4 linked regions of the Drosophila melanogaster genome follow. The protein of the gene in region 2 interacts with the protein of the main gene of each other region in a pairwise test. Each region holds a gene or a part of one and is shown on either strand. Other genes may lie near its edges. The genes, in order: CG15764, Slmap, Patsas and moon.

Evidence for each region.
Region 1: the proteins of Slmap (region 2) and CG15764 interact in a two-hybrid assay, tested with the Drosophila melanogaster proteins (one large-scale study listed by BioGRID).
Region 3: the proteins of Slmap (region 2) and Patsas interact in a two-hybrid assay, tested with the Drosophila melanogaster proteins (one large-scale study listed by BioGRID).
Region 4: the proteins of Slmap (region 2) and moon interact in a two-hybrid assay, tested with the Drosophila melanogaster proteins (one large-scale study listed by BioGRID).

The regions. Positions count from the first base shown.
Region 1 is NC_004354.4:5,866,680-5,870,953, forward strand, and holds CG15764 (uncharacterized protein), read left to right. Parts: upstream 1-2,415; 5' UTR 2,416-2,502; coding exon 2,503-3,384; 3' UTR 3,385-3,587; downstream 3,588-4,274.
Region 2 is NT_033779.5:22,576,871-22,585,582, reverse strand, and holds the start of Slmap (sarcolemma associated protein), read right to left. Parts: upstream 6,512-8,712; 5' UTR 6,331-6,511; intron 5,834-6,330; exon of another isoform or gene 5,763-5,833; 5' UTR 5,743-5,762; coding exon 4,450-5,742; intron 1,462-4,449; coding exon 901-1,461; intron 842-900; coding exon 2-841; 3' UTR 1-1.
Region 3 is NT_033779.5:12,100,066-12,105,553, forward strand, and holds Patsas (patsas), read right to left. Parts: upstream 3,221-5,488; 5' UTR 3,080-3,220; coding exon of another isoform or gene 2,996-3,079; coding exon 1,430-2,995; intron 1,375-1,429; coding exon 1,183-1,374; coding exon of another isoform or gene 1,171-1,182; 3' UTR 700-1,170; downstream 1-699. Other genes in the region: Ced-12, read left to right, coding at 1-476; ThrRS (Threonyl-tRNA synthetase), read left to right, coding at 3,830-3,991, 4,427-4,487, 4,623-5,056, 5,111-5,488.
Region 4 is NC_004354.4:12,071,153-12,075,294, forward strand, and holds moon (moonshiner), read right to left. Parts: upstream 1,667-4,142; 5' UTR 1,579-1,666; coding exon 1,060-1,578; 3' UTR 856-1,059; downstream 1-855.

The sequences.
Region 1 (4,274 bases), on a different chromosome or scaffold from region 2:
AAAAGTCTAAGTAGAAGCGGGGCGAAATTAAATTTTCAAGACAGCCTGGAATACTGGAATAAAAAATCCCCAATCCCCCAACTACTGGTAGTTGAAAACTTTGGAGCGCCACGGAAATCTGCACACACAAAACATATCAGTGGGTTGGAAAGTAGAAAAACAAATACCGAATTCGACAAACTTTACAAATTGAGAGAAATTGGCAGTTTTGACGGCATTTTTATTCGCATGCAATATTATTTCGTTATTTGTTCACTTCTTTCGGTTTGCACTCGCAAAAATCTAGAGATCATTTGTTTCAATCAAAATAGTTGCTCTACGAATTTTGTTTTACAATGCCAATGAAAGCAAATAATCCCATTTTGTACCAAAAATCATTTTCCAATTTTACGCCTAGAAAATAACACAATTATTCTCGTAACAATTGACAGAATCATTCAAATATGGATTGTTATACCTCGTTAAGTTTGTATTTAAATTCCCAATCGAACTGTGTCCAAAAATGGGAATTCTATTTTTTAGCCATTTTTTGTAAATTTTGATGATGTTACCCCTTCCGAAAATGCGAAAAATGACTCAAAAATTATTTTTTCTAAATTGGTCCAAAAGTGATACAGATGGTTAGCCTTCGTTATTAGCTGCTCAAAACAGTTATTTCTTTGGTTTTATGATCATTTTTAGTCAAGTTATGATGAAAACGCTCATCTAAAGTTGTTTAATTTTTGCCAAAATCATTTTTTTCGATTTTCCGTCATAAAATAGTCAGTTTTTTGGCCACAACTTTAAAAATAATTGTCTGAATACGGAATGTCATATCACGTTGAGTTCGTATTTAAATTCCCAATCGAACTGTGTCCAAAAATGGGAATTCCATTTTTTAGCCATTTTTTGTAAATTTTGATGATGTTACCCCTTACCGAAAATGCGAAAATTGGTCCAAAAATTAATTTTCCTAAATCGGTCAAAAAGTGATAGGGATGGTTAGCCTTCGTTATTAGCTGCTCAAAACAGTTATTCTTTTTGCTTTCTGATCACTTTTAGTCAAGTTATGATAACAATGCTCATCTAAAGTTGTTTAATTTTTGCAAAATAATTTTTTTCCATTTTCCGTCTAAGATCTCAGTGTATGTCTATAGTCTTTTGGATGCTTTTTTCTCGTACCTGTCTTTCTATGCGTTTGTTTTCCATTTCACCTGCCCAGTTTTTCGTACTCATCGTTGGCATTCCAAAAAAATGGAGTGCCACGTGACTCCTCGTTGTGGTGGTTTAGGGGGGGGGGGGGGAGGACTATATAGGTCGGGCGGATTGACGCCGCTTGTGCATTGTTTCGAGGGGGCGGACAAAGCACACAAATAACTGTCAAAGTTTCAATTCTTTTCGAAAGTAAAGCCCGGGTAAAAAAAAAAAAAAAAACAAGAAACCGAATCCGAATCCAAAAGCAAACAAAGGCAGAACAATGGTCGAGCAAATTGAAAGCTCTCGATTGGTATTCCTCTATTCCGGACTTGTTTTCCCACTTTTCACTTTTCATTAAAACAGAAGCAGCACGGAAGCGTTGAAAAAAAATCCGCAAAAAACAGCGAAACTAAAATTGAAGTCGCTCTACAAATGGATAAACTCAGTTTGGCAATGGATTTTATTTACAGATCTCATTCAAGGTTCAATTTATGAAACGATTAATAGTTAAAGCAATAAATTTTTTAAAGGGCCGTTCAAGTAGGTTCCATTATCCTTACATCCGCGATGAATGCATGGCTGTTCTGTCCAACCGACACGATAATGCACATACTCATACATATGTACATATATGTTGCACATCAATCCCCCTTTCGCCGACATGCAAAGTGCAACACCTCTCGTTCTTCGAACAATTTTAATTATTTCCACACGCAGCAGCGACGCACTCAGTAAGTCCATGGGCGGCAGAGGGAACCGGCAAAAGAGTGGTCGTTGGAGTGGGATGGTGGGGGGTGGGGGGGCGAACCCGACCGCAGGGAGTGTGTTGTTGGCTTTAACGGGGAATTAAGTCGGGCAACAGGAAGTCAGCGAGCACAATAATTAAGATGAGCGCTCGAGGGGCAATTATGTGACATCAACTTGCCAATTTTAAAACACCCCCGCCCCCCCGCAATCACGAACTCTCCGCATCCCTTTATCCTTCAGTCGAAGGATAATGCGAACGTTTTGGCCAACAGTGGGCTGTGTATAAAGATTTCTAACCATATATAAATATTCTTCGAACTGCATACTTTGCGACACATTCATACACTCAGAGAAAAAAACCTTTGTAAACTTGTAATCTTGGAGTTGGAGTTTTCCGAAACCAGTAGGCCCGTCTCCAACTGGCAACACTTCATTTCACCTAATTTGACAGGGACACACACAACACGTTTGCTCTACGGTTCGGTCGGTAGTACCAAATCTTATATACACTACATCTTCACAGTATAGCCATATATATATATTAATATTATCAAAATTTTCCACTAAACCTGCTTTGGAATGAGCACAGAACATCTGAATGACGCGGCGGAGTCCGTGAGTGCCCGGAGTTTGGCTTTGGATCGCGCTATCGTCAATTTGGTGCACCAGGCCCGTCGCCTCCATTTGAACAGCGTGAATGGCTATACATCTCTGGAGGCATCTCTGGAGAAGGCAGTGCCAGAGTTGCTCACGACTAGGAGTGATACCGCACACCCCACCACCACAGCGACCAGCTCGGCAAGGTCTTTCCCGAAGCGTAGGCCCAGTAGCCTAGCACCACGACCTGCGCCCAAGGCTTTCAAAATGCGCAAGACCGATACGCATCTGAGGACCCCACGTGTCGTCCAGTGTAAGACGGCCCGTATCCCGGTGACGCCACCACCACCGCCACCCTCGCCGCGTTGCCCAAAACCTGGGGAACTTAGTTCGGCCATGGACATGGCCGATCTGCTTCGGATCGAGATCGCCGAGACGGATGCACTGTTGGATCAAATGCTATTCGATGCCAAGGCACTCGAACGCCAGGTGGCGATCCAGTGTCAGTTGCAGAGCGATGCGGAAATGATCCGCAGCCTGGAGATGGAGTACAGTGGGCGATCCATGAGATATCTGATAGAGGCCATTCAGTCGGACTGCGAGAGCCAGGATGTCCAGGATCTCTGGAGCCGATGTCAACGCTCTTTGGAACGCCACGCGGAGCGACAGACGGAGCTGGAGTCCAAAGAGGGTCTGTATCTGGATCGGAATCCAGGCAAGGGCACCGGCAAGGGCACCCAAACCGATATGGCTGACTCTCAGGACGAGATGCTACCTATCTCGTCCAATTCGATTTGCCAATGGTTGCGAAGGGCGATGGGTTCTTTAAGCCAAGAGGATCAGGTGCAGGAGATGGCCATCTAGCGCAGGCCAGCCTTGAATAGTATTTGAATAAAGATACACAACTCTAAAATCACTTGTGTGCTCTGCTGTTTTAACGATGGCCCATAGAAATATTGAAAAGCTGCGATTAGACTAGAACTGCGAGGATTAATTAACTACTACTTGAAAAAGTATATATATTTGTTAACTGATTTATACAGTGATACAGCTCAGTGATTTGACCGAACTCATCTTACAATCTATCTATCCATTTAATAAAAAGATATTCGAAAATTTCTCATTTCTACATTTCGAGTGAAAGTACCACTGTGCCGCCGCAACTTTGTGTCTGCCTTTGAATGGTTGTGTGAGGAAAGTTTTCTTGTTAAGTTGCAGATTGAATGGCGCCGGTAAACACGGTGCGGCAAGTGCAGGGCTCCCAGCTTCGAGGACACCATGCATCCATGCCTCTGATTGAGCCAAATCCTGGCTCATAACTAATTGCCAGCAGCGACGACGATGGCGCTGGCAGCGGTGCAAAGTTTAAATTAAGTTGCGTGTCATAGTCGAAAAGTTTTCCACTTATTCAAAGAGGCACGTGCTCCACTGAGCACTACTCCACGGAGAAACTCCTGTCCTCCACTGGCCAATAACGCCAGCGAAGACGGAGGATTGACAAAAGAAATAATAACCAACGGATGGGAAATATATGCATTACTGCTTTACGTGCAAACAAAGTTGCAAATATAATGGAAAATCCATAAATCACAAGAAGCTACTGATAAAGTTAACCACTTAAGTAATTTAAAATGATAAGTTAACTGGGAATCAACATCGAAAATGCCGTGGTATATTTAATATTTTTTGGATTACATTTACACTTAGTTATTCCAACTAATAAATAGGCTTCTTTTATTTAGACATTTAATCAA
Region 2 (8,712 bases):
CTTAAATTCGACTGGAAAGAAAATATATGAGCAGGCCGATGGCAACACAGCCAAGAGGTAGAAAGCGGCATAGTAACTCTTGTTTACTAAATGGGATGTGTTTATGCTTTAAGTGCAGCTCAGAGATTTCTTTGCGAAGCTGCATGTTGTTAAGCTCCGAATTTTCAAGAAGCTCTTTGTAAACAATTAGTTCTTCTTCATTTTCTACGTTGGGGTTATTAATGGTTGCAATGTCCTCATTCCAAACACCTTCTGTGCTATCTCGATTATCAATTAGCTCTAACGTCTCACGCGGTAAACTGTTTTCCTCTTCCTGCAAGTTTGTTGCAAAATTGTGATCAACGCCTTTCTCAAGCTGCTTCTTTAATAGCTCAATTTGTCCTTGCAGGAAGTGTATTTCACTTGTTAAATGAGCTGTTTTTTTCTTGTACGTATCACATTCCTCTTGTAACATATCAATTGCCTGCTCCGTCGGTAATGCATTTGGAATATTAAGATTTTCCTCAACGTCTACAAGCTTTTCCTTACTTTCCGCATTAGGGGCTGACAATTTCGTTGCAGCCGAATCCTCTAAAATTGTATGTGTAGTTGAAGAATGGTTTTTAAAGTGATCCACGATTTCGGATGTATTTCTGCTAACGAACTCTGTTGGAACTGAATCGTTTGCCATATCCTCCTCCTCCTTAACTTTGCATTCAAAGGCTTCATCGTCACCATTAAAAATAGCTTTAAGCACTGAAGATCCTTCTTCTCCCTTGCCAAGATCGGAGTTCTTTAGCAATCTTAAGACGTTCGATTTATAATTGCCTTCTTCTAAATCGGGATTACTTAGTTTTAGCTTCTAGAATTAAATAGGAATATATTAATATATAATAGCATTAAGACTGCTATAAGCATTACCCTTTTTTTCGTTTCAGACAACACATTTTTAGCTGGTGACACAGACAAAATATCATCGTCAGAACTTTCATTATCATCCCTTTCATTTAGCGCTCTATCTTGAGCGTGGTCATAATCGTCAAGATTTATTGTATCTAAGTTTTTTAAGACAATTCGCTCCTTCAAATGTTCAGTATCAGACTCAGATAAATCGCGATGGATTCGCGAGACCTGCAGACGAAGCTCCTTAAGCTCGAGCTCCTGCGTCGTCAGCTTTCCATTTAGCACCTCTAAGCTGCGTGATTCTTGCTCTTTAGCCTCTTGTTCTTGGCGCACTGACTCCTTCTTGAATTCCATGTACTCCTGCTGAAGTTCCTCTAACCGGGTATTGAAATCAGTCAGCGTCTGCTTTAGTGTTAGAACTTGAGCGCGAAGTATGCCGCACTCGTTTTCAGAAGTGGCGTAGGCCATCTCCATCTTAGAGAGCATTTGCATAGCATCGCAGCGTTCCTGGTAGACCTTCCGCAGGGCCTCTTTGGCAGTCAACTGGTACGTTGTTTTGTCCTCAAGAAGCTTTACAATCTATTGAAGACAAAGAGAGAAATATTAAAAAAAAAAAATCAAATTTTACCAAAATATACTTAAAATTTTTTGCAGACAAAATTTTAATATTCAAAGGAGCTACTGACCATTAAGTCGGAAAAAGGTCCTCTTCGAGTTTTTTAAACCCATTTATAAGGGTATATTAATTTCTTTCAAAAAGCTAAAAGGTTGAATTTTCGAGCTATAGAATATTTCCTGTATTCGGTACCTTTTTGTTGTTTTGTCTTATTTCACGCACAAGTTTAAAATCGCATATTCGTATGGTCTCAATTTGCTTGCCTATCTGTATTTTTACCGTTCTGTATGAGTTCTTTGTTTTAGAGCCCTAGAGCACATGTATGTACAGTTTGTCAAGAAACTGTTTACACACTGTAAAATAAGTTGACTTTTTGACTTTAAAGCTAAAAATAAAGGGTTTTTTGCTTAATTAAACGCAATTTTTTTATAAAATATTATTAAACAATATTTATTTTACTTATAAATCAAAAAACAAATTAAAAATATTAAATATACAAGAAAATAAACAACAAATTCCAAGTTTACACACTTTTGAGACTGTCAAGAAACTCTTTACACAAAACACTAAATCGAAGTTTAATCCTAAATTTTTTAATTATTTTATTAAAATTTTAAAAGTTTTGGTATGTAGTATGTTCCCCATTGGCTTTAGCTACAAGTTGAAGCCTTTTTTTCATGGATTGGACAAGTTTTTGCAGGTCATATTCAAACGGGATCTTTTCACACTCTTCGACTATTACAGTCATAAGCTGTTGTTGTGTTTTAGGTCCCTTTTTGCCACCTTCTTCTTTAAGTAGGTCCACAAATTTTCAATGGGGTTCAGATCAGGACTCTGAGGGGGCGTATCGATCACTTTACCACAGTTATTAAGGCGCCAGGTGCGTACATTGCACTCTTTATGTTTCTGATCATGTCTTGGTAAAACTTAAAATTTGGCTTGTTGTTGCTAACCAGACTAATTTTTTCTACACTGGCCTTCAAATTTGTTTTCTAACATTTCTAGATATTGCACGGCATTTATTGTGCTCTCAATTAAGGCTAGTTTTCCCACTCCACGGCTGGTGATACAGCCCCACACCATCAGTGACATTTTTCCAAATTTTATCGTTGGAATGATATTTTGTTTTTCTAGCGCACTCAACGGTTTGCGCCATACTCTGCTTGGCCCGTCGTTATAAAAGAGCATCATTTTTGTTTCGTCACCAAATATGACGTCATCCCAGTACTCTTCCGCATGATCTATCATGCTCACAGCGAATAAATGACGCTTTTCAATATTGGCATCTGACAGCAAAGGGTTTTTCCTTGCAACTCTTGAAGAGTACCTATGGCGTAGGATGACTTGGAGCACAGTTTCGTGTGACACAGCTAGGTGACATTCTTGCCTGATATCCAGAGCAAGTGATCTGACCGAGATTCGGGGGTTCGCAATCACTATTCGCATAATAAAGCGGTCTACACGCTTTTTAATTTTAATTTTCCGCCCACCACCACTCTTAGGTTCAAGCCTGCCCTCTTTTTCCGAGCCTTTTAAAACATTGTAGACGGTCTTACGGGATACAGGAAACATTTATACTAATTCTGGAAAAGATTTTCCCAACTGGTGGTTATAGTTTATTAATTGGGTAACTTTAAAAGTTAATCTCTTTCCAGGCATTTTATTAAATTTAATAATTCGCTTTAAGCACGTTTGATCAGCAAAATTTCACAAGCAAAGTCAACAAAATTTCAATAGAAGCGTTGTAAAAAGCAATGCAAAGCCAAAAATAACGGAAAAATCGAGTTCGTTCTAAGAAAAAGAACAAAACAAAGTAGGAAAACAAAATGTGTAAAGAGTTTCTTGACAGTCTCAAAAGTGTGTAAACTTGGAATTTGTTGTTTATTTTCTTGTATATTTAATATTTTTAATTTGTTTTTTGATTTATAAGTAAAATAAATATTGTTTAATTATATTTTATAAAAAAATTGCGTTTAATTAAGCAAAAAACCCTTTATTTTTAGCTTTAAAGTCAAAAATTCAACTTATTTCACAGTGTGTAAACAGTTTCTTGACAAACTGTATATACATTAGAATATAACTCTTTTAATTCTGTAAATTAGAAAGTGTGGGGTGGGAAACAGCTTTTGGTATCAAATAGGAGTCCCTTATTTTGTACAAAAATAATAGCAATGATCTGTTCGTATCAAATGTGAGGATTGGGTCAGCAAAGCACAATTTGTTTAAGGATTTATTTTTTCTGTTATATAAAAACTGAGAAAAAAAGAGAAAATATACTTTAACCTAAAAATTAGAAACAAATAAAAAGTAACGTTTACAAAATATGTATAACAAATTACTCCACTGGCACCAATCGGTGGCACCAAAATACCATTTGCTCACAATTAAAATACAATACACCTTATACAAATGATTATAATTAATGCGTATTCAAATAATAAAAATGAAGGAATCAATGAATGAATAACAAAATGAAACTCTAAAGCCATTATATACTGCTTTGTTTTAAAGGCACAACCACTAGATATAATTTGATGGGACCGAATTAAATTGCTTAGATTCAGATTTGCTTAATTTTTGTGCATTAAACATTTTGATTATGTTTGTAGTTAAGACAATTCATTATAAGATTTGGTTCAATTTATTTTATCTTGTCCGGTTTGGGAAACAGATTTATTAAAAATTTGCATATTGAAATCTTTAAATTAAAAGGAAAACACAAGTGTGCAAAAATGGTTTTTTAGAGATTCCGTTATACAGGCTAACGGAAAGGTGTGTACGTATTTATGAACAAACTTTTTTAATTGTTCGTGTGAAAGGTTTTTGAGGTTTTGCTTAGTTTCATGCTTAATACCAGTATTCTTGCTTTCATAGTTGTCCAGGATCACAGGATAAAATTGTAAAAAATAAACAAAGGCTTAATTTTTTAATCGGTCGCTAATGGGACTTACCTCGTTTCGCAGTGCATTCTCTGGAATGTTCTTTTCCATCATTTGCAGTTTCTTTTCCAGAATATTTATCTTGTGAAGCAATTGGTCTTCAGTGATCATGCTTTGCCAACACATCGCAGAGTTCTTTCTGGTGTTATCAAGGACGCCTTGCAAGCTGCTTAATTTAGCTTTCAGAGATTTTTCCCTTTGTGCAGCCTCTTGGAGGAACGAGCTTAGGCGCTGCACTTCATCAAAGCTGATTCGGTTAGGCACAGTCAACATCATCTGCTCTGCCTCAACTGAAATGGCCTCTTGTCCATTGGGTAGAAAGAGGGCGACACGGGCCAGGATACACCCGTGTACCTCCTGACGTGAATTCTCAATTACCTCAACGCCGAACTTCACAATATCGCCATAATGTAGTTCCGCTGGATCACTACCCAACTTGTTGTCGTTAATAAAGGTACCGTTGCTGGATTTTGTGTCTTTGACCCAGAATTTACCGTCTGGAGTGTACCACAAAATCGCATGGTTTCTTGACAATACTTTACAGTCAAATATAGCGTTCCCCTCACCCGCCTTACTTTTAGCTATAAGGCGGCCCACCTTGCAATCCTGGTTGGGCTGCAGCAATATAGATCTCGTTTCAAACTTGTGCGACTTTGGTTCACATAGGAGTACGATTTTTGCTGCACCCTTACATGGCGTTGGGGCAGACTCCAATCCTATGTCTAGATCTACGCCAGAAGTTGGGGGCACTGAAGAGACTTGTAAAGTGCCGCATTCCGATGCCACCTCCCTTTGTAAAGCACTATTGTTTAGTACTCCTAGTGGGCTAAACAGACTGCAGGCAGTAGTTACTCGAACTCCAACCCCGGTGTTATTTGCATTCAGCACAGAGTTCATGGCCATATTCATAGCATGCTGGGAAACTTCAGCCGGACGTCGGTCAATACATACTGTGTTGGAATCACAAAGTTCCATATTATTATTTTCCTGGTTCTTCGTGGACGCCTCGTTGTTACTATCAGCCATATCTTCTTTTATGTCCATTATATGAAAGAAATTGTCCTGCTCCAAATTTTTTTCAGTTTCCATGTTTAAAGCGTATTGCGCCTCCTCTGGCTTCACAGCAGGTTCTTCCCCGGATGGATATCTGGTCGTCTGAGGTAATTCCGTGGCCGTGTCGGTTGTGCCAGTTCTGTTTAATGCCGTTGATCCGACTGCTCCTGATGCTGGCGTCGGCGATAATGAACTTGACGTCTGGTCTTCATCAACATTATTTTTTAACCACTCATTGCACACCAAGACCATTACTTTACATCCAAACAAACCTTTGGGGATACGAGAACAAAAGCGGATTAACAAGTTAGTAATTAGTAATACACGAGTGGCTGCTGTTTGACAAATCCGACTAGCCGAAACATTGACAATGAATCCAAATTTTAAAGGCCTGCTTTAATTTAATGTAACTATAAAATTTGTCTTTTCCCGATGAAAATTTGAAAAGGTTTCCGACCACATAAGATATACACACATATGTAAATGCATACATACATACATACATACATACAGAATGAATTTGCATTTGATACAAAAATATGTACGTTCAATAGCAATGTTTTCAAGAATTATTGTAAACAAAAAACTATGCCATTAGTTGGTCATTCTTATGAATTAAGCAATTTTCGAGTTAAGGATGTGCCGATTAATTACGACAACTTAAACCAGGCATTAAAAATGTTTGGAACGGTTGGAAATTGTTTACTTTTTTGATTTAAAAATAAATTATATGGTACGGGGAGGACCGCTTAAGTTCAAGAACATTAAATTCGCAATAATATAAATGTTTGATATTGCGCAACGTTTTTACCTTTATTTTACAATGCACGCTTGGCTTACCTTGGAATTTTGTAATTTTCCTGTATTAATTGTTGCAACCTTCTACCCGTGTTTTTTAGTTTTCTTTAACTTTGAACAATTGTTGTACAAAAACACCTGGTTTCGCGGTAAATTTGTGTGCATACTTAAAATATTTCCGTCAAAATAGCGACAATCAACTGGTGATGAACACGGAACGATGAAAAAAGCGCTAAGCATTATTGTATATAATAATATACAATATACCAGTTTATATACCATATACCAGTTTCTATGTTGACATGCAACGATAGAACCATTCCATTCTGCAATTTCATTTCCAATAAATACAAACAATAATTTTCTAAAATTTTTATAAGAAATAAGATTTAAGAATTTTAAAATGTTTTAGAGCAATGTCGTATGCTAGAAAGGTTAAGAGTATGTTTGTAGTCGGCATACAAATGTTCTGCAATTACATTTCCAATAAAAAGAAACAAATAATTTTCTAAAATTGTTATAATAAGAAAGGAGATTTCGGAATTTTAAAATGTTTTAGAGCAATGTCGTATGCTAGAAAGGTTAAGGGTATGTTTGTAGTCGGCATAAAAATGTGTTTCCGAACCTTAAAGTATAGTGTACTCCTGATCATAAACACTATTCGATCAGGTCCGGTCTGTCTGACTGAAGGCTGTGATCTCGCAAACTACAAAATAGAGCTGGAAGAAACATCGGAGATAGCGCTACATAGATATTTAAAAAAAAATCGGAAACATCGAAATTTTCGGACATCGATGTTAGATTTTTCTGTTTTACCCATCACCATTTGCAGGGAAAGATCTTGCTAAGCTAATCGGCTAATGGCAAGACAGACAAATGTATTAAGTGGGGCAAGACACCAAACAAGTGCGAATAATACTAACTTGTCTTGCCACGTAATGAGGATACATATTAATTTAACAGTCAGTGAATTGCCACAAAGGCAACAGCAGTCAATTCTGTCATTTATTGACAAAATAATGAAACGTTGACGAATCGAAAACAAGTGCTCTACGCTACTACATTGGCTCAGACTTGCGCGGATTCGGATTTCGACGAAACAACTTATTTTTCTGAAAACATTGCAAACTTAATCCGCACAGTAATTGATGAACGCCCATATAGTTTGAAACAATAGAAATAGGTTATAGAAAATAAAATATATATGTATAGAAAATCCAGTTGGAATGGCGCGTTTTACCTGCTGAAACGATTTTTGATTACAAAGGTTGCTATCGCAACTGTTCTACTGAACCAAAGTCTCTAGAATAATAAAGAATTATTGTAGTGTCTTTGACTGAACACTCTCAAAGGGTTGGTTATTGCCGTAAATATCGAATAAAATATTCATTTTCGAGGATTTGAAGGCAATACTTTAACCTTTAGAGCATGCAACGGTTAAAGTTTACAAATTGTTCAAAATTGTGGGCGTGACCGGGTTGACGGCTTTTGGTCGTTAGAGTAGGCGTGTAAAAAGTTTTTGGCATATCGATATAAATTTTAGCGACTAATAGAATTATGAAAAAAATATCGAAAAAAGGTTTAAAAATGTGTGTTTTGCGCGGCATTTTTGGGAGGTTTTAGGGCGTTAGAGTGGGGCTGGCAGGTTTGTGTGCGTGGCAACATGGGTCAACCAACTTGCGCTGCGTCTTTTTCTGTGTTCTAGCTTTTTAAAATTCCTGGGATCTCGACGTTCATACGGAGAGAGGCCAGATAGACTCGGCTATTGATCCTGATCTAGAATATTTACACTTTATATGGTCGGAAACGCTTCCTTCTGCCTGACATACTTTTCAACGAATCTAGTATAACCTTTTACTTTATGAGTAACGGGTATAATGAGTGCATATCTTAATTATAGTTTGCAGCTTTATCGATGTTTGTTTTATTTTCTTTTAAATTGAATTCATTTTTCATTATAATTTTTGTGTTTGACGAGAAAGTAGTTTTAAGTTTCATTTTGATTTTCAGGCAATAAAAACACCAAAGTATGAATTTTAAATTTATAAAGAACTTTTACCCATTTTGATTTAGTTTTGGTATTCATTTTTAATATGATAATGACTAAAATACATTAAAAAACACCCTTAAAAATTTCGATGTATTGATACATCGATGGAGGTAAACATCAATGTTTTTCCAGCTCTACAAGACAGCTAAAATACGGGATTATCGATACTGTCGCCGTTCGAGTGGATTTGCCTTCAACGGCTACTCTCCTTGGATCCCGAAGGAAAGGAAAGACTCTTCCTGGCAGTAGTAGTGTGGCGCCCAGACTGAAGCCCGGTCTGGCATCACGGCGAAAACAGGTACTAACGCCAAGACCTTTCCTGGAGGACGATATCTTCTGATATTGTCAGACTGGACACACTCCAAGCGCTTTCA
Region 3 (5,488 bases), about 10 Mb from region 2:
GAGGCACTCGAACAAAGGACAAGTTCTGGTACGCTCGTCTTTCGCCGAATCACAAGGTGATTCATTACGGAGATTGCGACGAGAAGACAATACCCACCATGGAGGAGTTGCCCAAGAAACTGCCCATCAGTGAGATTAAGCAATTGCTAGAGGGCAAGGAATGCCCGCATATGAAGGAAACTCGCATTCGGAAATCGGCGGTAAACCTGGCCTTTTCCATCACCTTCGAAAACATGGAGCACTCTACGTTGGACTTTGTGGCACCCGACGAAAGCATATTCAACTACTGGACGGATGGAATAAACGCGCTGCTGGGTCAACCGATGGTCAGCAAGCAAAAGAACGAGGACTTCGACACTCTGCTGTCGATGGAGATCAAATTGCGCCTGCTGGACACGGAAGGTGTGGACATCAGCAAGGACCCACCGCCAATACCGGAGGATCCCGAAAACTATGATTTTTGCTTTGAGAGCTAAGCATAACGAGCACAATTACTTCACGAATTATTCGATTCATTCTAGACTCCCCCATCACCCAAGATACATGCCAAAGTGTACACACAACATAATCGTATTCTCCGATCTGATCTTCTACTAGTATTACTTGTGCAATTCCCCGAACACAAAATGAACAAACTGGTGACGGTCACGTCCAAGTGACTAACCGCTGCCTAGCCATTTAGTGAACTTTACACCATTTATGATTATAATAGGTATATAATATATAGAGATCATTAAATAACACATTTTATACATAACAATTTTGTACAAAAACTAACAAGAGAAGCGTATTCTTATCCAAGCCTAAAAGGTAATTAGTTAGTTAAAAAAAGCAAAAAGCACGGCTGGCCGATGCTTTGAACACCATTGCGGAAGGAATTGATTTGGAGCCGTTAACAATAATGGAATCTTAGCAATGTAATTTATTGATGCTCTGAATTGCACTTGGAATTTGCTATCGATTTGTCCTTCCGCAAGGATATGTTGATTGCAATTGTAAATGATAAAACACGCACTTGACGACCTTTGGTTCGAACTTTAAAGCATTCGAGTAAGCAGTAAGCCTGCGGAGCAAAACCAAACTGGCAGCCTACCCGAGTGGGTCTCTGGCTGCCTCCTCGCAACATTATCCACGCACGGGCAGCTTGCGCCGGCGAGCAGGGGCTCGATCCTAGATCCTTAATCAAATGTTATCCTCCAGCAGGAGATCGTTGTCATCGCCCCGGTCCGGCAGGCAGACAAAGAATTCGAGTAAATTCAGGATGGGACCACGCGAGAAGGGATTCTGATATCGTCCGCGTTTGTCCCGCAAGTAAGGATAACGCTTGTAGTTAAACATCTCGTTTGTGGTGAGATTCATGCAGGCGTGCAGGATCTGCCAGTGCAAATGATGTCAAAACGATTAATATTTTTGGAAAAGAAGCACTTACCGAAGTGCATGTGAGTATCCAACCCAAGCCGCAGAACACAACCGCCTCGATGAGTCCCAGCACATAGAGCATCGTGAAGCCCTCGATCATCACGCAATAGCAGGCAAAGTAGATGGTGAACGAGCAGTTGACGGCCACCGAGAGGACGAACAGGAAGAACCACATTCTGTTCCTCAGTCCCACGCAGTTGTAGATAAAGGGACAGTGGTGGTCAAAGTACGAGACACACCGGTTGCACACGCGGCAGTGTTTGGCTCGCAGCGGCCGGAGGCACCTGCAGCTGTGACATAGTCGGGTTAGCATCACATTTCGCTTCTTCAGTTTGTCGAAGTACGGAATCTGCTTGATGGCCCGGTAGTAGGCATCCGAACTGAGTGGTATATACCCCGGATCCCGGCGATTGGCAATGGCCCAGCTTATCCACATTACGGCGTTCCAGTATATAAAGCAATAGTGCGAGCGTCTCAATATGTTCCACGTAATGGGAATCGCACGGATCATGTACATGGGATAGCCCCAAAGTAGCACAGAGAAGAGAAATAGAAACAGCGGTCCCTTGGAGTCTCCAGCTCCGCCAAAGAGCCAGCCCCAACTTTCCGAGACTGAGGGAATCCAACGGGACTTCTTCTTCACCTCGCCGTACAGCAGGCGCACCACATCCTGGTGCTGATGAGCCTGTGCCAACATGATCGGCGTCTTTCCATTCTTGTCCCTCGGTTCCAGATCCAGCTGGGACTTCTCGCACAGCAGGCGAACGCACGTCATGTTACCAGACAGGCAAGCCAGATGCAGTGGAGTCGATCCAAAGTTGTCCGTCTTTTGAAGCTCAACGCCGGAATACATGAGGAGTCGCATAAGATCGGCATGTCCCTTGTACGCTGCCCAGTGGAGTGCCGTATCGCCGTTTATGTCAGTTAGGTTGTTCAGCGCTCCCATTCCAAGAAGATAGGCCGCCGTTGCAGTACGGCCGTACATGCAGGCGAGATGGAGGGGTGTAAGTCCCTTGAAGTCCGCCGCATTGACGGCAACTCCAGCCTGGAGGAGGACCTGCACCACGGACGCATGACCCTTCCTGCACGCCCAGTGAATGGGCCGTGGACCCTGCGTACCCAAACAGGGCAGATCGATCGGAGCCGTGCGTTCGATGAGGTATCGCATCAGCTGGACATTGCCGTTGAGAGCTATCCAGTGGGCTGGCGTGTAGCCATGACGATCCCTGGCCGACAGACACTCCATGCCGAACTTGTCCACGAGATTCTCCACCTCGCTGACCTCTCCGTTCTTGATAATATCGAAGATGTCGTCCAAACTCACGGTGGTGGCACCATCGAGCCCCTCAAAGAGGAGCACATTTTCGTGGTCCTCGACGCCGCTACTGCCGTGTCCACCGTCCGTGCCGCGACCCGTTAATGGCGGCGAATGCGGTCGATGATCCAAATGGATGTCGTCGGCGTGGGCATGGCCATCCTCCTCCGCGACGACCATGTTGCAGGAGGAGGAGGCGGTTAGGGGCAACGCCCACACACTGCGCGCCGCCCCCGGACTTGGATGCACCTTCGAGGCCATGTAGAACTCGAAGTCCACGCCCAGACGGTCCGCCGTTCCACCGTTGCCTTGATGCAGGGGGTTTTCCAGTAGGTGTGCAATCTTGTCGCCTTTTTCCGTTACGCTCCGACCGAAATTTGTACTCTGTTTGGCCAATCTTAGGCGTGGAATGCTAGGTAAACACGACTGCACTCGATGGCGAGGAAATTATGTCAGCACTGTGAGAAAATCAATATTTGTCCCGAATCGCAGGACTCGAATTGGGGCCACTTTCGAACTCGACTTGGCGCCAAACAAATCAACAGCTGACCGTTATTTTCGCAGTTGGGCGCGCAGTGTTGCCAACACATACTGGTAATTAAGACTTTTCTCAGCGAGGGGTGATTTAAGATTTAAGTCAAGAAGTATTAAAGAAAAAATATATATATTTAATTTGTTGGAAGGTCAATTGTTGAAACCGAGGTATCATTTAGCTTAACTTAAATATACTAGAAATCTCGTGGCATAAGCAAACTAAAAAAAAAAGGTTTATCAACTGACTTTTATATTAGTTTTAACATTATTGGGAAACATTTGTTTTCCGCCGCTAGAAACCTTTAAAATGTATACTACTATATTGCTTGGTACGAATGTTGCATTTTGAACTGATGCTAGCATTGCATTTTGTAAGGTTCCCATGTCTCTGTTATTTTGCCACCTGGTAACACTGTGCCCCTTTTTGATAAATTTGTTTCGTAAAAAATGGGCGACAACGTGGTGACGGAACTAAATAACTTGGATTTGAACAATCAAAAGGCATGTTAAACTCTTTTCGAACTGCATTCGAGTGTATGAGAAGTGCTAGTTAGCCGAATTATGTTGAAGTTGGCGCCGCAGGGCGGCAGATATTATAGCCAAATAAGCCGCATTTGCCAGTGGATTTTGCCGAAAATTCAGACGCAGTCGAAGCCACCAAAACAACAACAACAACAGCAACCACAATTGAAAGAACAACAACAACACAGCTACGCAACTTTGGTTGGTGTTTTAAGCTAAAAAGAATTGACCTAAACTTCAATTTAAACGCCTGTTACTGCTGGCACGTGTAAATGTTATGCTTGTCTGTGTGAGTGTATGCGATTCTCCAATGAATCAGTGCCGCCGGCTGTGACGTCACTAACAACCAACCAACTTCATGAGTGTCTGTTTTTTTTTGCTACTCTATTGCATCAGCCATAAAACGACGAAGATACGCTCAAAGACGGCTCGATAAAACAGAGATAGGAGCACCGAAAACATAGCACCGAAAAGTGCTCATTGCCATGTCCCCAATTGTTTAAACAATAAGAAAACATCAGTCGAAAGTAGATACCGAAAAAGAGCATTTGTCTAATTGCATACGTAGCACACTTGTGGCCACTTGAATATCTCCGGTTTATATTGATTTTTAACCTATTTCCGATGGATTTGCAGGCTGCCAAGATGAAGAAGGAGAAAAAGGAGAAGCCATCCGGCGGTGGAGATACTCGCAAGGGTAAGTAATTCTAACTAAGAATTAAAAACACAAAACGCACTTCCGTCTGTAAGATATGTAGCATATCTTTAAGATTAGCTGCCTTCTTCTCTCTAATACCTGAAATTCCACTGATCTCTGCTATATTGATTTCAGAACTCAGTCCCTTGCCCAAGTACATCGAGGAGCGCAATGTCTTCTGGGAGAAGTGCAAGGCGGAATACGAGGCCGAACTGGCGGCCAAGAAGCGTGAGCCCATCAAGGTGACACTGCCCGATGGCAAGCAGGTGGACGCCACCTCCTGGGAGACCACTCCGTACGAAGTGGCCCGCGGCATTAGTCAGGGTCTCGCTGACAACACCGTCATCTCCAAGGTGAACGGCGAGGTGTGGGATTTGGACCGTGTGCTCGAGGGAAACTGCACCCTGCAGCTTCTCAAGTTCGACGACCCTGAGGCGCAGGCCGTCTTCTGGCACAGCTCTGCCCACATCATGGGTGAGGCCATGGAGCGCATCTATGGTGGACACCTGTGCTACGGTCCGCCCATTGAAAACGGCTTCTACTACGACATGCATCTGGAGGGCGAGGGTGTAAGTAATTTGTGATGTTCAGTAAGAATTAAATTAAATTGAACGCCCAATTAGATCTCCACCAACGACTACGGCGCCATGGAGGGTCTGGTTAAGCAAATTGTCAAGGAGAAGCAGAACTTCGAACGTCTGGAGATGAAGAAGTCCGACCTGCTGGAGATGTTCAAATACAATGAGTTCAAGGTGCGCATTCTCAACGAGAAGGTGACCACCGACCGCACCACTGTCTACAAGTGCGGTTCTTTGATCGATCTCTGCCGCGGACCTCATGTTCGTCACACCGGCAAGGTGAAGGCCCTGAAGATCACCAAGAACTCCTCTACCTACTGGGAGGGTAAGGCTGACGCTGAGACACTGCAACGCGTCTACGGCATCTCGTTCCCCGACCCGAAGCAGCTCAAGGAGTGGGAGAAACTTCAGGAGGAGGCGGCT
Region 4 (4,142 bases), on a different chromosome or scaffold from region 2:
AGGGTATTTGCACATTTCCATATTCCAAATTGAAATATATATAGAGAAACAATGCAAGAAAATTGATCAAAAACATGAAATATCTAAGCAAAATAAAACTTTTCTTTTCTGACTTGCCGTATTGTAGTTGCTTAAACGTTGAACAGATTTTATACAATTTGAAGTTTGAAAGAAAAATGATAATGTATACTTACTATACCTCTACCTATTGTTTCTTGACTTGGCTGGTAATTATGCAAAAAGAGATCGAGCTACGTGTGCAGATTTGTGAAAGTTTCCTTATGACAACCGCCACAATATTATGTTGTAATGACCAGAAAGAATACAGAAAGACCCGGTCTAACGACCAAGTTGTCTTGCATTATATATGTAAGTTCAACGTTTTCCGAGTGGATATTTTTGGCGCACCCCATCTCAATTTTAACGCTTTCAGTGTCGACTGCCTCCCACTGACACCCCCACCCACTGACTAATTTGTCACTTTTGTTCTCGCCTCGCAGGGACTTTTGGAATATCTTGTACTTTTTTTGATTGTTTTTTTTTTTTTTTTTTTTTTGCTGGCAACCCTTTTTTCAAGGGCAATTTCGTATTCAAATGTTGTTTGACTCGGTGTCTGTCTCGCTTTCTCTCCATTTAGTTGCTAGTACGTGTTCGTTGTGACCTGCCCCGTTTTCCATTTTGCTCGCAGCCAGTACATTTGGACCACATCCCCCAACCGGGTAGCTCTCATTCGCACGTAATTAGCTGTTAATTTGGACTACCACTTGGCAACCGGGCGTGGAATTTACTTTGTAACTTCTCCCATGTTTCGGTGTGTGGCACCGAGCCGTTCATGGGGAAATTGGGAAAACGTTTGTTGATTTGGCCCACAGAAGACGATGGCATTCGTATGGTTTATTGGCTCTGGTTTTGCTTCACACCTATGCTTATGTTCAATTGGTATGATTTTACAAAGGTTGATTTGATTATACAATTGTTATTTTTAATTTGAGTAAACAATTGATATTTTGAATTTACATATCTATGTGTTTGGGTGCTTATCCTAGGAGGCTGTAAGGACTACATTTCCTGGCCTGCGACCACTTTGTCAACAAACGCCTGAAGCTCGGCTTGTCCCTCTGCGTCGGGGGCTGCCATGATCTTGTCGAGAATCTGCCAGTTAATGTGCTTATTCAATAGTCCCCGTTTGATGACAAAGGCGCGCATCATAATGTTGAAATAGCGAGCTCTCCAAGCGGAACGCAGTCGCGGAATGTAGATGCGATTGTTGACCATCTCGTTGTCGTCCACATCGTAGATGTCGACTTCGCTGCCCTTCTCCTCGACAGGCTGGTCCTGCTTCTTTGGAGCGATTTTCTTACGCTTCTTTGGCTTTGGCGGCAGGGGATTCGATTCCGGCTGTCGGTTGGCCAGCTTCGCCATCCATCTAGATTGCAGGTCGGCCAGCGCCAGGTACTCCTTGTGCGTTAGGTTTGGCACATCGCGGAATAGTCCCTCCATCATATCGATCATCACATCCTCCGGAAAGCTGCACGACTCCGGTATCCAGATGCCATCGGTGGGCAATATCTTGGCCATGGCAAAGCCAAAGCAATGTGGTTGAAATGACTGGTTCTCAATGTTATTGTTTTATGAGAGCTACGCTGCTTACGCCGATAGATTAAGCTTGCTATCGATCGATACAATTGATCATCGACTTACCGCAATGCATGGGAGGATTATAGAATGTTCACACTGATAACGATGTTATAAGCTATTAAATAAATTTATATAGATATATATTTATATATAACAATAATAATAATAACAATTTTACTCATGTGCATTTATAAATGGTAATATAATTTAAATTTTAAGTTATCTTGCAATCGAAAGGGGCTAGAATATTGGAAAAAAAGCCTTGCTTAAAGATTCTTTTAACTTAAACTACGACATCTTCCTGGCCGTTGGACAGCTTCCACCACCTGCAGTGCAGCCCCATGGCAGCCTTGCCATCCATCTGGTGAGCCAAGTAACCCCGGGAACCCAACTGACAAGCAAATTACTTGACCGGGGCCACCACCAACCACAAGTCAAGGTATGGCTGGCAACCGTTAACTTTGCAGCTAATTATAAATGAAATCCGATATCAAAAGGCACACTGGGACACGCCTTTGTGCAACACCCAGGCACCAGCACCCACTAACACACACGGGGGCTTGCCCCCTCCAACCCACGGCACACACACACACTGAACCAGCCGTCGAATACACAGACAATGTCAATTCATTTGGAGTTTTGGAAGTCCTGGTCTTGGAGTCCTACAGTCCTGGAGTCCTGGAGTCCTGGATTCCAACCGGCCGCCAGTCTGTGGTTCTCGGCAAACAAACAAATAATGAAAACAGCACAAAGGGGCTGGCATCGTGGTGTCATCGGCGGGTTAGGGGGTGTTGGGTTGGCGTATTGTGGGCGTGGACCGAGAACAAAGTGGAAAATTCATAAAATGTCATTGTCGCTTTATTAAAACGCGCCAAAAACCTTCACGATGCCCCACTCACCACTAGCAGCGCCATCTAACCCCCATTTCTAACACACAATTAAGCAGTGAAAACAATTTGGTATTGAAAACAATTTAAGTCTAATAAATTATTTCACATATGCGTTACATAATCTGAAATCGAATACAAATGTTTCTATTGTGGCAAGTTCAGTATTACTATGTATTACTATGCTATGTTATAATGTTTTAAAAACCTTAAGACAAAGCGATCATTTCAAATAGAAGTATTTTTTAGCGGTGCACCCACACATAGATGTCAATCGTGGTACAACGAAGGGGGTGTTTCCGAAGGGGTGGGGGGGTGTTTGGGGCTTCATGAGTGAGTGGGTGGGTGCTTTGGCAAATTGGGCGGACGGCGACGTTGTCTGCTTTGCCATCGACAGCTGTTGGCGTCATTTACAAAAGCTTTTTGGCCGTTTTATGGGATTTTGCAACAGTTTCATTTTCATTTTGCGCAGGGCGCACACACACACACACAAACACACACACACACTCATGAGCAGAATAAGGCTTGGGGAGGGGGGTGGAGTTTGGCGGGCATAATGCCGCCATTAGAAGTTGCCGCCAAGCACTTGCTAACGCCAAAAGATGATGATGAGCAGCAGCAAGAGCAATAGCAACAAGGACCATATGCCATATGTGTGTGTGTATGCAGTGGCATTCGCAGAAGGGATCTAAACTCGTATATTTAAGTACTACATTTAAGACAAGACATAAAGGTACCAGGATACTCTTTAAAACAAGATGATTGCCTGCTTTTGAACTTTCAAGACTTTGATTTGTAGCTATTATTTTCTAAAAGTGCAAATATCCCTTTCTAGACTTCAGTTACGAACCCCCTTTATCTTAGACCAGAGACACCCATGCATGTTACGCCGCAGTTGTATCTGTAGTTGTGCGATGTTGCGACAACGATAATAGCTTCAACGTTTGTTGATTCGTTTGCCGTCTATATATGTTAGTCTGCCTGCCTGGCCAAACCTACGATTTTATCACGCCCTAGACCCGCGAACCCCTAAAGTCACCGTCCATGCACCCGCACATAACCATTTTCCCTTGCCCATTTTCCCCAAGCGTCGTCATCGTCAGCGTCATATTTGAACTTTTAATATTGACGCCATTTAACACGTTCGGGTGGAAATTTTATAAATGACTCTGTCTGTCGTTGGCTGGCTCCCTACTATGAACCTCCTCCCTCTGTAACCACCTTGTAACCTCCTTGTAACCCTCAATAACCCGTGTAACCCCCCCAATAGCAAACGACAACCTTCGATCCCCAACGACGCGACAAGGAACAATGATGATAATGATAATGATAATGATAGTGCCGATGATGATGGCGATAGCGCTGATTATGCGGCTGATTTGGGCCGTGAGTAGTTTGGCTTGAAAATGCAGTTTATACGATAAATTACTCGACTATTTGTGGCCATAGGCATAGATTGAATTGAATCATAAATGGCATGGGCGATCAAAACTTTCGAGTCACTTGAATTGGTTACTAACTTAAAAAGAATGGCATAATAAATCGATAAAATCAAGAGTTTCGCTAATAATTGAGTATTTCAATAATATATATTTGGTGATCTTCTTGATTCGAATC